Linked DNA regions of Danio rerio. The main gene of each other region encodes a partner of the protein of the gene in region 3 in a complex. Links are inferred from orthologs where the notes say so. Each region holds a gene or a part of one and is shown on either strand. Other genes may lie near its edges.

Region 1 (5,598 bases), on a different chromosome or scaffold from region 3:
CAATCAATCAAAATGTGTTATCAAGTATTCTCTAAAAGAGGGTGAGCAATGACAACATTAAGGTCCTCTTTCATGCTTGAAATGTCTTAAACTGAGGGCTATAAACTGCAGATACCTGCAAAGTCTTTGGCCTCCTCTGTGGGTACAGTGCGCACAGTTGCCAGGTCATTTTTATTGCCCACCAGCATGACCACGATATGAGGATCAGCGTGATCATACAGTTCCTTCAGCCAGCGCTCCACGCTCTCATAGGTCAGGTGTTTGGTGATGTCATAGACCAGCAGCGCACCCACTGCTCCTCTGTAATACCTAAAACAAACAGCATTACATGTAAACACACAAGAAACTCAATTGCATTTGGCTCACATGATTCATTATTTGGTTTTTAATAAGTATGTATTGCATCCTACGGGGGAAGCTGGGGGAACGGGATGTTGTAATCACACAATATCTACACTTCAAAGTTTACAAGGTTTCGGCCCAGTAAGATATTAATCGTAACAGTTTACAATAAGGTCCATTAAACTTGAACTTTTGGCTAATGTATTTATTAATAATACTCATTAATTTTCCTTCGGCTTAGTCGCTTATTTATCAGGGGTCACCACAGCGGAATGAGCCGCCAACTATTCCACCATATGTTTTACACAGCAGATGCCCATCCAGCTTTCCTAGAGATGGGTTGTGGCTGGAAGGGCATCCGCTGCGTAAAACATATGCTGGATAAGTTAGCGGTTCATTCCCCTGTGGCGACCCCAGATTAATAAAGGGAATAAGCCGAAAAGAAAATGAATGGATGAATGAATACCCCTCCAGCCGCACACTAGTACTGGGAAAAACCCATACACTCTCACATACACACACAGCCAATTTACTTCATCCATTTCACCTATAGCGCATGTCTTTGGACTGTGGGGGATACCGGAGCACCCGGAGAAAACTCACGCCAACACAGGGAGAACATGCAAATACAGAAATGCCAACAGTAATGAACAGTTAATAATGTTAATTAAGATGCTTTTTCTCTGTATGTCAACAACAACATGAACATTTTTATTCAGTGTGAGCATAGTAAGAAGAATTTATTCAGCAGGAATGCATTAAATTTAAATAAAAGTTACTTTAAAGACATATATAATAAATGTATGGATACTGCCATTCTTTTGAATCTTCTGTTAATTAATGAATCCAGGCAAAAATGCATTACAGTTACTACAAAATTATTAAAAAGCACTACAACGATTTAATAATAAATATCTCGAGTACGTTGGCCATGAGAGCTCAAACATGCTGCAAAGATCTAAAATGTGTTGTAATTATATTTTTATCTCTTATTATCTGACAAATTGCACAATTAACTTTAAATTCACTTCGTTTGAGCTCTCTCGGCCACCGTATTCGACCATTAAACCATCAAATAAAATCTATTGAGATACAAAGCTGTATTCAAAATCCTGGTAATTGATAAAAAAATTATACAGATTTTTTTATTCAAACTTGTAATAACAATTGATAAATTTTAATCAAATAAATGCATCCTTGATAAGCATAAAACCCTTAAAATATATAATAATAATAAATTACCAAATCAAAACTTCTAAATAGTATAATTTACTAATCTAGAAGCATCTTTTAGGAAGAACTCAATATTCTGCAGTATTTCAGTAACTATATATTTAACATAACCATGGTTAAATTCTAATTCCTATCGTCTGAAAACTCTAAAATTTAGTGGTAGGACGGCATCAAGGCATTTCCTAATCAAAATTCTGCTTCACTTCCTTCCTCAGAAGGGACCTTCATCTGATTGAATGTTGAAGGCAGCACAGATGTGTCCATCGCACTTCAATTTTAACCCAGTAACTGGGTATGCCAATATTTGACTAGTTGAAATAGAAATTAGGGTGGCACGGTGGCTCAGTGGTTAGCACTGTCGCCTCACAGCAAGAAGATCTCTGCTTCAAGTCCCAGCTGGGTCAGTTGGCATTTCTGTGTACAGTTTGCATGTTGCCGTGGGTTTCCTCCGGGTGCTCTGGTTGCCCCCACAGTCCAAAGACATGCACTGTAGGTGACTTGAATAAACTAAATTCGCCGTATGTGTGTGAAAGAGTGTGTATGGGTGTTTCCCAGTACAGGGTTTGCACCCAAGATTGCATATGCTGTGTAAAATATATACTGGAACAGTCAGTGGTTCATTCCACTGTGGTTACCTCTGAAATAGAGACTTAGCCAAAGGAAAATAAATGAATGAATGAATGAATGAATGAATGAATGAATGAATGAATGAATGAATGAATGAATGAATGAATGAATGAATTAGAAATTTGACTGGTTGAGTTGAAATAATTTTGCATTTTTAAGTGTAGTGGTAGAAACTTTAAAACACAATCACTTTCTATGCTATAGTAAAATAATGCAAAAAGCACTGTAGCTGTCAGTAACTATCCTTTAAACTGTGTACCAAGTTAAAAAGACATATAGGAGTGGTTCTGGGTGTGAGTCTAAATCAATTGCAACAAATTCCAGATAATCTAAAACAAGGAAATGTACATGAATCTGAGATGAAAGGAAGATGAAGTGAGGGACGTACGCTGAGGTGATGGCCCTGTAGCGCTCTAGACCCGCAGTGTCCCAGATCTGGGCTTTGATGGTGATACTGTCCACCTGAACAGAGCGAGTGCTGAACTCCACGCCAATAGTGGTGCGACTGTCATGGTTGAACTCGTTTTTGGTAAACCTTGACAGCAGGTTGCTCTTTCCAACCCCTGATTCTCCAATTAAAACCACTGAAAGACAACCAAGACAGCATTTAACTTACTTTGAATGATGCGTAGTTAAAGGAAAATACAATTTCCACACTTCACTAGTTGCAAACCTGTTTGACATTCTTTCTTCTGTTGAACACAAAAGAAGATATTTAGAAAAATGCTGGAAACCTGTTTCCATTGACTTCCATTGTATTTGTTTTCCTACTATGAAAGTCAATGGTTACAGATTTTTAACTTTCCTCAAAATATCTTCATATCTATTCTGGAACCGCTTGAAGGTGAATAAATAGTGAGTAAATATTAATTTTTGGGTGAACTACCCCTTTCAATTTCTGACACAATTGGAAATACATGAAAATACAAAATAACAAATATCTTTTATATATTAGATTAGCATGCTAGGCATCAGACGCAGCAATCACAGTAAAAGCATTTAATCTTCAATCAGCTGACTGAAACTTACCTTTGAAGACAAAGTTGTAGGCTAAATCTGTCCCCATGTTGTCTCTAGCTGTAATGTGTCAGTCTGTGTTTAGTGCATACGTGTTACTCGAGCTCAGAATCCACTGGGAGGAGAAAAGCAGATGCTCAGGTTTCTCCGACAGCTTTATTGATCCATTCTTGCAGGTCTAAATGCAGATTCAGCCAGACTCTTCTTTGAGACAGTTTGGGTGGGAAAGCAGGTGAAACTGGTAGAACCACTGACACACACACACACACACACACACAATGGGAGTGACTTCATTCTCTCACACACACTACTGTTAAATCACCGTTCCTTCACTCCGACTGCGTGTATGTATCCAGTTCTGTATGCGCAAAAACAAATATCAGAAGAGCTGAGTCAGAAAAACAAGCCGTCCTGCATCAACATGTATCTTTATAGGCAACAGGTTGAGTTTCTGTAAACATAAAATAAAAGGGGTTTTGATTAGTTTGACGTAATCAAAACAAAAGCTTTGAATTTAGCTCATTTTAATGCAAATTTACCTGTTTAGCCCAGTGTTTGGCTCATGTTTAGGCTTGTGAATCACACCTCTGCTGTTCATGCATCTTTTTTCACAATAACCATTGTGTATATTGTTTGGTACAGACAGCCAGGGGTGTGAAATATGTGTGTAATCTTATTAAATGAATGTTCATTCATTCATTTTCCTTCAGCTTTCCTTCAGCTTTCCTTCAAGATCGACACAGTGGAGTGAACCGCCAACTATTTTAGCATATGTTTTATGCAGCGGATGCACTTACAGCGTTGCAACCAGGGTGCGAATTACAGGGGGTTTCGCGGGAGAACTGACCCCCCTAAATAATGCTTTATCCCACCTGAAGCACATCAAAACAGCGTGTATGGGGGTCAGTCCTCTAAAAAGAGAGAAATAGAGGTTACTCTGATTTGTTTCTTAAAAGATAATATAAAAACTGATAATAATAGGGGCGTCACAGTGGCACAGTAGGTAGCACCATCGCCTTACAACAAGAAGGTTGCTGGTTCAAGCCCCGGCTGGGTCAGTTGGCATTTCTGTGTGGAGTTTGCGTGTTCTCCCTGTGTTCGCATGGGTTTCCTCCGTGTTCTCCGATTTCCCCCACAGTCCAAAGACATGTGCTATATAGGTGAATTGGGTATAGACCATAGATAAATTGTCCATAGTGTGTGTGAATGAGTGTGTATGGGTGTTCCCCAGTGATGCAGCTGGAAGGGCATCTGTTGTGTAAAACATATGCTATAAGTAGGCCCACACAGAATCTGCGCACACAGAATTCTGCAGATTTTCCGCAGAATTCTGCAGATTTCTGCAGATTTTTAGCCCATCATTAATTCTGTTTATTTACTTGAGTAAGTGTGTATATCTGAATTTATTCAGTTTTTATTCAGTAATTTATTTCTTTTTATTTAATACATTAAGGTCTTAGTTATGATACTCTGCTGGATACTCCCAAAATAATTCCGCAGAAAACCACAGATTTTTACCAAAATTCTCAGCAGAAATAGCAAAAAACGTCCGCAGATTCCGTCTGGCCCTGGCTATAAGTTGGCGGTTTATTCTGCTGTAGCAACTTCTGATTAATAAATGGACTGAAAATAAAATAAAATGAATGAAAAAAATAGATTATATATACATTTGACCACCCCTATATTTATTCATATCATTGTGAATGCACAATCAGTCTATGTGAGAAACAAATTATTTATCAGTCTGAAACCATCAGATCAAAGCACCGATAGACAACCAAAGTGTTCGTAAGACACTTTTCTTGTAAAACAGCAGTTTGTTTCTACATATAACCTGAAAGTGAACTCAAATTAGATGCATAGTTTTTATAGTTTGACCTACAGTAAACTCTGGAATAGCTAATCAGAGGATATCGTAGGTCAGAATACACTAAATATCGCACAAAACACTGGAAACTTAAATATGTTTATTAATAAATCAGATTAATTAAACTAGCTCAAATAAATACATTCATGTGATTCACTAAAGCATGTATTACACAAACTAACGTTAACATACCAAAAAGGTTACCCTCCTGTTGGTGAATGTATAATTTGCACCTTGGGCACAACCCAGTACTGGAAAACACCCATACACTCTATCATTCACACACACATTCATACACAGGGCCAATTTAGTTTATTTAATTCACCTATAGCACATGTCTTTGGACTGTGGGAGAAACCGGAGCACCTAGAGGAAACCAACTTGCGGAGAACATGCAAACTCTATGCAACAGCACTAACCACTAAGCCACCATGCCACCTTAAATTAATGTACTTTAGTTTAATTTTTGGGAAACGTTTTTAAATGACAAAAATGTAATTTATATTGAGTGC
Region 2 (5,413 bases), on a different chromosome or scaffold from region 3:
TTCCATCCACCTGAATGCTACGTGTGGCGAACTCCACTCCAATAGTGCTTTTGCTCTCGAGGTTGAATTCATTGCGAGTGAAACGAGACAGCAGGTTACTCTTCCCCACACCAGAGTCTCCAATTAGGACCACTTCAAAATAAAACACAACATGGTGTAATATCTGACATAGATCACATAACAAATTAGGCTTCTCACATTATTTACTCAAGCCTTGTGTCTTTCCAAACTACTACACTGATTAAATAAACGATTCTGTGATGAAGAAAATACTAAAACATAAAAAAACATTAAACAATAAAGTCAGCAATGAAAATCAATATTCTAAATTACTGCTCAATAAAATTTCTAAAAAGTATATTTTTCTTTGAATCCTTTGTTGTTTTGGTCGTGACTCCCAAATATATATGAAAGCAATAACAATAAATATCAACTTTCTGAAACTGTTGTTCCCAACACACCCTGGAGCATTTTGCACTTTCCAGTTTTCCAGGTAAATTTACACTGCCATTTCATTGCTGTTGTTGTCAGGTATTATAAATTGAGTTTATGACATCTGCAGTTCATTTTCTACTCAAAATGACATTCACACTCAAACAATAGAGAAACTGTGATAGGAAATCAACTATTTACATGTTTTCAAGAAAAGCGAGCATAAAAAAAAATCTAATTTTACTTAATTCCACACATACAATTCATTGTTTAACAAATTTTGGAGCGCAAAAACTCAAAAAAGAAACTACATTTTACATAGTCATTTTTCAGCATACAAGACTTCTGATATGCTTCAAAATTCAACTTAAAACTTTCTACGTAAAACATGAGAATTTTATCAAAATGTTGACAGTTTGTTTACCATATTTGATTGACTCTAAATATGCATGTCCGTCAGTATTAAAATATGACAACCAATCAAAATGGGTTCATCATATAAAACAATAACTTCTCTTCAAAAGCACTGGATTTAAGAGCCTGATAAATTTAGAGTGCTAATGAACAGGCATGGGCTGGTGTAAGATTCTGGTGGTATGATAATCTTGGATAAAACATCACGGTTTCACAGTATAGTGATCACTGCTCTAAAATATATTCTTTTTAAATGTCTGGGTAAAAAACAAAAACTTTTCCCCCTCTGAACACAATACATCATTTTATTTTAAGAAATATTTAAAATATTTTGGAACTGTAAACATGTCAGGCTAAATTCAAATGGATCATTGGCTGTGTCCGAAATGTGTCTATACTTCTATATCATAAATTACGCTAAAACAGTATGAGACCGGACCAGTGTGTCCAAATTCATAGAATTCAAAAAACAGTATATGCGAGAATTGTGCATTCGATACACACTGTGCTATCTCATAATGCCCTGTGGGAGAATTTTTGAATGAGAGTGAAGCGACGCAACTTATACAGGTAGGTCACGTAATCATGACAAAATGGAGTATGTAGTACATCCGAGTTCCATTCATACTGTACAGAATATACTTTTTAAACAGCAGATTTAGTAGTACATTTAAATTCAAATGCAGTATCTACTGAGTAGTAGGCGATTTCGGAGGCAGCCATTGACTTCTGCTGTATTCCTTTTTTATAGTTATTTTTTAGGGTTTTTTCACTTTTATTTGAAAGGACAGTAAAGTTTGCAGACAGGAAAGTATTGGGAGCAGAGGGGAAGGGTCAGCAAAGGACCTTGAGCCAGGAATTGAACTCGGGTCGACATGAGCACCATGGTGCAATGTCAGCACACTTCACCACTAGGCTATTGGCACGGACAGACTTCTGCTTTACTCGTTAGTTTCAAAAACACAGATTTCTTTACGAATCAAAAGAGCATCTTCGAAAAAAAAAATGTTTTAAAAAAATCTTATATAATATATCTTAAATGGTATAGCAGAATATTTTGGCAGTTTCAAAACCTTTTCTGAACCACAGTTTACCTTGAAAACGGTTATCGTGCCAGATCTACTTATGAATTTCATAAATTGTCAGTTTTTATTAGATGGACTTTCAGTGAAGGGATCTGTCAAATTTATTTTCAATTCAAAGATGAATGGAAATGTTGGTTTGAATGACATGAGGGTGAGTAAACGATTGCCACATTTTAATTTTTAAGTTAAATGACTCTTTACACAAACACTTCTGTCTACATTAAATAAAGGAACAAACCTCTTCACACTCAGAGCTCTATGTCACAACACACCACACAACATCATTTGAGAGAAGTACATTTAAATAAATGGCAAAAAATATATATATATATTTATTTATTTCACAATGTGGGTGAGATTACCATTTTTGGTGACATTTTTTGACATTTTGTTATGACAGAAACTGGTGGAGATTTCCGAGTGGTTCTGGGCTTACGTGAAGACAGGTAGAGGTAGCTAGTTTACTATCACTACGATTCACGTGACAGCACAGAACTTCTTAAATGACTACATGTGTCTCACAGAAGTGAAAACATACGTAATGAGTCAACTGTGCTGCAAATATGACTAAACTTATTGTTTCAAGAGCTTATTCCAAATGATAGAAACTCCACATTTGCTTAATGAAAGAAAAACGATGAGCAACATATTCGAGAAAAACAGGCCGCATCACCTGACATCTAGTATTTACTTCCAAGACAACAAACTGACACAAATAATTATCTATTTAAAAGAACAGTTCATCCAAATTGAAGAAATTCCTTCGTTGTTCAAGTTGCTTCAATGTCATATGATGTTTTTTATCTCGGTGGAATACAAAAGGAGATGTTAAACGTCATGACAGCGTCGGTCACAGTTCAGTTTTAGTATATGAACTAAGATATAATGACAGCGAACGGTGGTTTAAGTATATCAAAATATATTATGGCCAAAAAAACAACAAAGACACACAGGCTTGAAAAAACATTCGGGAATACAGGCCGTTTCCCATTTCCGCCTGCTCCGTTAAACTCATCCAGCGACAGTGTCAGCTAACTTCAGCTAGCCGCTTCAAGGTGTGGTCGGATCTCTGGAAAACTGTGTTTTTTATGCTAACCAACATCTATATTAACCCAATGCACAGTAACTAAATAATATTATACATATAACGATACAGACTCAAATACGCTACTCCAGCCGAAGAGCAGGAGTTTGTTTGGGCTGCTCGAAGTGAGCTAGCCGGTTAGCTGGCCTTTACTGTTTAATATAAAACCACACTAACTAACAATAACCACGATGATCGGAGACGCTTTAACTTGTACAGTCGCGACAAAAGTATTACGTACTTACCTTTAAACAAGTAGTCGTATTCGTCGTCTCGTGTCCCCATCTCGATCAAAACAAAAGCGCAAACAATGGAAGAATGTGAAGGAAAGTGGAGGCGACCCGTCGCTGTCCTCTCCGCTGCGGCACTGCAGTCTGTCTGTGATTAGGCAGTAGCCATGCTAACGGCTTAGCGAGCAGGCGAACCAGAGAACATCTCCTCAAGTGTTCCGGGTGAGGGCCCTTACAGACTGTCAAAATAAAAGCAGGATTATTTATTATTTTTATTCATTGTGTATTATTTCTGTTCACCAAGGGCATTTTATATAATGAAGTATAAGACATATGTTTTTGTAAGGAACCACCGTCTCAATTGAGCCAATTTATTATGGAGCCAGATCAGTCTCAAAAATAATACATTTACAAAATATGATTCATATATTCACAAAACAATACACATTTACAAAATCCAATTTGTATGTTCTAAACACAATTCGTAAATACATAAATCCAATTCATAAAATTAAAAACACAGTTCATAAATAGAAATCAAATTCACAAATTCAAAACACAATTTATAAATGCACAAATTCAATTATTAAATTCAAAACATGATTCATAAATGCACAAATCCAGCTCGTAAGTTCAAAACATGATTCATAAATACACAAATCCAGTTAGTAAGTTCAAAACATGATTAATAATTGCACAAATCCAATTTGTAAGTTCAACACACAATTCATAAATACACAAATCGATTCCTAAGTTCAAAACACGATTCATATATACACAAATCCAATTCATTTGGCGAAAATATTAGGATGTTTACTTGTAAAATCACAAATTGTGTGTAAATCCAAATTGGATTTTGTAAATGTGAATTGTGCTATGCATGTATGAATCCTATTTTGTAAATGTATTTTTAGACTGATCTGACTCCATAATTTATACTATAAAGAGAGAAAAATATTTGGTTTCATTTAAGTTACATTGTAACACGCTTATTTGCTTATTTGCTTATTTGCCGTATTTTATTTATTTATTTTTTTCACTTGTATCTATTTTGTAATAAATTCATTCCACGTGAAAAAGTACTATATTAATATATAATAAAAACTACGTTGTTCCATAGTCTTTTATAGTAAAGTATATTCAACAGTATATATTATAATATTTACAACACTTAGATAGGGAATGCTTCAGTAAGCTGTAATGTTAATTGTCATCTGATAAACTGTCATAAATACTTTAATATAATTTTTTTTTAATACAGCAAACTGTGGTGGTGTATTGTAGTATAATGTAACATATCGTTGTGGAAAACTACAGTATTTGTGTCGTTTGCTTATATTAGCATATTTTTCGTGTTACAAGAGCAACTATAGAGTAACCAAAACCGATTGTAATTCAAGTATTTTACTGCAGTACAATACTACAGCATTTACTATAAATTTTACAGTTTTTTATTGTGCCTTATTTTTTCTTATTTACTCATATTTTTAGGTGAATAACTTAATAATTGTTATCATTTTAATTGTACAATATACAGCTCATGTTTTGGATGTTAATGGCCGCTTTTACATATACAATCTTTTTCTGGTACTGGTAAATTGCAGTAAAGAGATCATGTGTGAACAGGCCCTTTTAAAATGCCAGAAATTGTGTTCCTTTTTTTTTTTTTTTTTTGCAATGAGAAGTTGTAACATGACCAGGAAATAGCAGGAATTCTGCTGTGTGTGTGAAAGCAGGAGGAAAATTGTTGGTATGAGCCACATACAAGTTCAGTGGTACATTCACTCCACAATGCTGACGGAAATAAACGCCTTTGCCCAGACATAATTATTTGCTGCTTATTAATCAGACAATGCTCATGTTCCTTCCTACTGTAGAAAACAATGTCACAGATAGTAACGATATTGAGAATCGATATGTTAAAGGGGAAAGGAAAACTATGAATTGTTGATGTGAATTTGAGTAAATGATGAAGAAATTTTTGTGTGAACTATCCCTTTAAAAGGGACCACCATTCTAAAATAGCTATACTATGCTCAGAGATAAGCAGCATGGTGGCACAGTGGGTTGAACGATCGCCTCGAAGCAAGAAGGTCACAGGTTTGAGCCCTGGCTGGGTCAGTTGGCACTTCTTAATGGAGTTTGCAAATTCTCCCTGTGTTTGTGTG
Region 3 (4,326 bases):
AAAGTGTGAATTTGTCAAACACTTGTTGGCAGATGAGCAAATGTTTCTAAATTGCTGTTCCCTCAATATCATGCTGAAGTCAGACACATACACTTCTTGTGTCAACACATTATTGAGCTGCTTAATAGAAGCGAAGCTTGAACGTTTAGAGCAGCACCGTTAATAAAAGCTCGTTTTTGCAATAAGCTCTCTATTGATGGAAACATTTCATAACATGTTTATTTTATGTGTCTACATTAATCCGAATATATCTGAAAATGGCATGTTTATTTCATAACTGTTTCTTTCTAAAGTTGCTCATGCACACTGAAACTTAAAATAATATTATCTAATTATCATACTGCTGATGCATTAGACATCATTTTTATGCAGCTCTCATGAACACTTGATTCTGATTGGTCAATCACACTATTCTAATGTATGCTATTTCCAGAAAACAGTCACTGAAACTAGTATGGGTACTTTGAATAATCTTGATCTGTTACACCACTGTTTTTAATACATTTTCTGACATTTTTGCAGAGATGTGATATCAAAACTGTGCAAAGTAACTTTTATATAGTCTAGTTTTATTGTGTAGACAGTATAGTAAATCGCAAACACTGTTTCATCCAAAAATCGAAATTATTTTAATAAAATCATCCTATGAATGTTTTTTTTCTGTAGACTGTAAACAAACCTGAAACCAAAAGCTATCCCAATTAGCCAGTTAACTAGGAAAAGAAAAACAATATGAAAAGCCAACTACATTTACAAAAATCTATACCAAAAAAATCAATACTATATATATATATATATATATATATATATATATATATATATATATAAATGTAAACAGACTCAATGCTCACAAAACTATCACACACCGTAATAACCAATTATAGGTTCTATATTATATTATATTATATTATATTATATTATATTATATTATATTATATTATATTATATTATATTATATTATGTTATGTTATGTTATATAACTTTTTATCGTGAGGAAAGTTTTTATGGTATATTGCAAACAATAAAATTTCCTGGAAGTGAATCTGGTCAAAAAGTCAATATATTTTAGATCCTCTTTGCTGTCCTAGATCAGTTCAGCTACTGCTTGTGTCCACTTACAATCTAACACAAAGCCTTCAGATGAACTTATTGGCAAGTTGAAGTTTGGACATAAAATGTTGAATGCCAAAAGAAGCATGTGATTAATTGGAATAGAAGTTTAATTTCCCAGCATGCTACAAGCGATTAAATAGTGGTTTCAGGAGGTTTTTTTATGCAATAACAATGTAATGCCATGTGTTTTTCTTCATAAATAGGACCTTGAACATCTGCAGACGAGTGTAGCGGCCTACAGCAATCTCTCCTTTGAGGAAGTTGTGCAAGAGCTCATTAAGCAGAAGGATGTTGTAAAGAAGAAAGATGCTCATATTCGGGAGTTGGAGGACTACATTGATAACCTGCTGGTCAGGGTAATGGAAGAGACGCCCAGCATCCTGAGAACACCCTATGAGCCCAAGAGAAAAGCTGGAAAGATCTCGAAAAAGTAAAGAATCACTGAAGAATATTGTAGCTTAAGATTTCTGGCAAAATATATATATTGCTTGATAAAGGACCCTGGAGTGTCACCTGGGATTGAACACAGGTCTATTTGTTCACACATAGACAAATTTCATGTGATAAAGTTACTCTAGGTTTGCAAGAACATTGTGACAGAAGCCAGGCACTAAATGTGGAGATGCCAAACCCCCCTATTTAGATTTTTTCCATGACTTTATTTAGATTTCTGTTTTTAAGATTCCTTTGAGCTGTCAATTAATACATGATGAGTGAATATTTTTTTTAATATTCACGAGCAGTCATTCCTAGCTAAGAGCAGCGTTCTTGTGTTTTTACCGAAAATAACTGTGTTTAAGTTGACTTTTACTTTGAATTCAGTCAGTATAACAGAATTCAGCACTTAAAAGTCTTGGTACTACTGTGTTTTACATTTATCACTGGGGTGGACTATCTATATGAGGCCTTGAATTTGCTGTGACTGAACTCACGCTGCAAAAGCTGCTCCCGATCAGTTGAGGTACACATTTGTCATATGCAAAAATGGAAACATAAATTAGTGGCACCACCGGACATAGAAACGCATGTTTACTGGATGTTTTAGCAGCGGGGGTGTTGATTTACTGGAAGACCACTCTTGGGTTTGACAGGGTAATTCTAATAATAAGTGTAAACAAGTGATGGAGACTTGTGTTTGGTGCCATATTGATTGGTTGGTTACAGGATGCTGGTACTGAAAGCTTATGGTACTCGTATATATCTAACAAATAATAATACGCTGATACGGAATACACTACTAAATATTTATTTTGAGCTTAATTGCAGTGAGCATATGGCATATATGAATGACACGGTTCACTTTTAAGTCCCAGAAACAAAAGAAACGTGTCGCAGAAGTGTAGAAATGAGCATCCAGTTTCCAAAGACTTTAATCTGAATGTTGAATTGGAAAGTTCTGCTTATGAATATATTCCGTTTATCACAGAACAGTCAAAGATTGTAGACTGATTGTTTTGACTGGGGAAATTTTGATTACTGATATCCGATATCACTATGTTTGGAAGCCGATAAGTGATATATAAATAGGCCGATAAAAATAATCTGTCTGATTACAGAAACAAATGGCAGACAGTGGGCAAACATATTTTATTTTAAACCTTATCTACAGCAAATAAGGAAACTGCAAGGAAATGTGTTAAAAACACACACACAATGGAAAACTACCACACTGTGACATCATTCTAACGGGCCAATAACAGTAACATTACAAATAAGCATTTATTTACAGATACTGATATGGCATCCATATATTTCCCTAGTTTTGACCATTTTATTAAAATGTAGCTATTTAATCAATATGTCAAACACAGAAGTATTGCAAATCTACTTTCAGCAAGTTATGAAACTCAATTTCTTATTTTAACGGAGCCAGTAAATTTAAAATGAAAGTGAATACGTTAATTTAATTGGTCTTTGTAGTCATTTAGTTCAAAACGTTTATAGAAACGTTCAGACAGTCGGATTTATTACTATGTTTATCATGTTTACTACACCAGAATCACATAGAAAAAACAATGATTGTTTACAGTTTGCGTTATAGTTTATACCTGCCAAAATTGACCAACGCTTCTATGACTTTGTTTAATGAACAGTGAACTTGTTTTTTGCTGGAAAACCAGAATGAATCTCTTAGAATTTCCAAAAGAAATACTTTTATTTTGTTTACAACAAATTTATTAACCATTCCTGTTACAAACTTGGGAAGATGTTTGTATTTTAAAATGCAAGTTTTAAACCAACCAAGTCAATCAAAGATACTTAAAACCTTTTTCATCAGCTGCACAAAAAGATTTATTAAAACAAATAATTCACAGCATCAGTTTACATACAGTGTATATATATATATATATATATTCATATATACTGTATGTTTTGCAATTGTGCTAAACTATTATGTGTTTTCAGGCATTTTTAGAATAAAAAAAGAAGATTTTTTTTGACTCAATTAATTAATTTTAGATTTCAAGCCAGTACTCTTGAATATTTATACACTTCTTACAGGGATTACTGGGATTTGTCTCATTTCCTGTTACCTACGGTACATATCTTTTCAGAAAAGTACATTGGCTATCATTTATGGTAATCTGAGCATTTATTTTTCATCGTAACCGTTTTTTTTTCAATGTTTATTTTTCGAACATAACAATGTTACACTGGAGTGTGTGTGTTTTTTGAACAACATCGGTGCATTTGCACACCAGACACTGAAAAAATGTGCATTTGAGAAAACTAGAATGATTGTAATGGAGATGTAGTTTATACTTTAAAGGGTATAATATGTTAGCTCTTAATGAAACTTTATACCAGGCAGTTCTTTAGACAATAATTACCCATAATTTTTTTTTTTATTTATAAAACAACATAATGTATAATTTGAGTGTATATACTGTAGATCAGCTGAAATCTTTCCAAGTGTAGTTTTTCCTGAATGACATGGTAAAAAGAAACACTGTGCTGGTTAGTTTACAGGAAAGGAAGTCACGTCTTCTCTAATATTGGGTCACAATGAGAAAGTGTTGTGTTCTAATCTAGATGTAAATTATTCATGTTTTGTTTGTTTAAAGGTTTATTTACCTACCTTTTAGTATGTATTTGGAGAGGTTTACATGTGTGTAATTGACAACTCACGTCAAAATCATTCAGTGCCACGAGCAGTGTTACACAGTGCTGTCGTTATGGCTCTTATTTCATGTCAGTCTTTGAAATATGACC

What was found.
Region 1: the proteins of rab11fip2 (region 3) and rab25a are in contact, whole or in part, in a crystal structure (PDB 3TSO), measured with the Homo sapiens proteins. The link is inferred for Danio rerio from reciprocal best matches to the Homo sapiens genes RAB11FIP2 and RAB25. Residues at the interface, in NP_055719.1 of Homo sapiens: Arg475, Glu478, Ile481, Asp482, Asn483, Leu485, Val486, Met489, Pro493, Ser494, Leu496, Arg497, Val498, Pro499; in NP_065120.2 of Homo sapiens: Arg34, Ile45, Gly46, Val47, Glu48, Phe49, Ser50, Thr51, Lys62, Trp66, Arg73, Arg75, Ala76, Ile77, Ala80, Tyr81.
Region 2: the proteins of rab11fip2 (region 3) and rab11a are in contact, whole or in part, in a crystal structure (PDB 2GZD), measured with the Homo sapiens proteins. The link is inferred for Danio rerio from reciprocal best matches to the Homo sapiens genes RAB11FIP2 and RAB11A. Residues at the interface, in NP_055719.1 of Homo sapiens: Glu478, Ile481, Asp482, Asn483, Leu485, Val486, Met489, Glu490, Pro493, Ser494, Leu496, Arg497, Val498; in NP_004654.1 of Homo sapiens: Arg33, Ile44, Gly45, Val46, Glu47, Phe48, Ala49, Thr50, Lys61, Trp65, Arg72, Arg74, Ala75, Ile76, Ala79, Tyr80, Arg82.

The regions. Positions count from the first base shown.
Region 1 is NC_133194.1:8,473,266-8,478,863, forward strand, and holds the start of rab25a (ras-related protein Rab-25a), read right to left. Parts: upstream 3,421-5,598; 5' UTR 3,269-3,420; coding exon 3,232-3,268; intron 2,787-3,231; coding exon 2,591-2,786; intron 310-2,590; coding exon 116-309; intron 1-115. UniProt on the Homo sapiens protein: The small GTPases Rab are key regulators of intracellular membrane trafficking, from the formation of transport vesicles to their fusion with membranes.
Region 2 is NC_133193.1:20,515,472-20,520,884, reverse strand, and holds the start of rab11a (ras-related protein Rab-11A), read right to left. Parts: upstream 3,421-5,413; 5' UTR 3,301-3,420; coding exon 3,261-3,300; intron 133-3,260; coding exon 1-132. UniProt on the Homo sapiens protein: The small GTPases Rab are key regulators of intracellular membrane trafficking, from the formation of transport vesicles to their fusion with membranes.
Region 3 is NC_133188.1:22,724,577-22,728,902, reverse strand, and holds part of rab11fip2 (rab11 family-interacting protein 2), read left to right. Parts: intron 1-1,316; coding exon 1,317-1,547; 3' UTR 1,548-4,326. UniProt on the Homo sapiens protein: A Rab11 effector binding preferentially phosphatidylinositol 3,4,5-trisphosphate (PtdInsP3) and phosphatidic acid (PA) and acting in the regulation of the transport of vesicles from the endosomal recycling compartment (ERC) to the plasma membrane.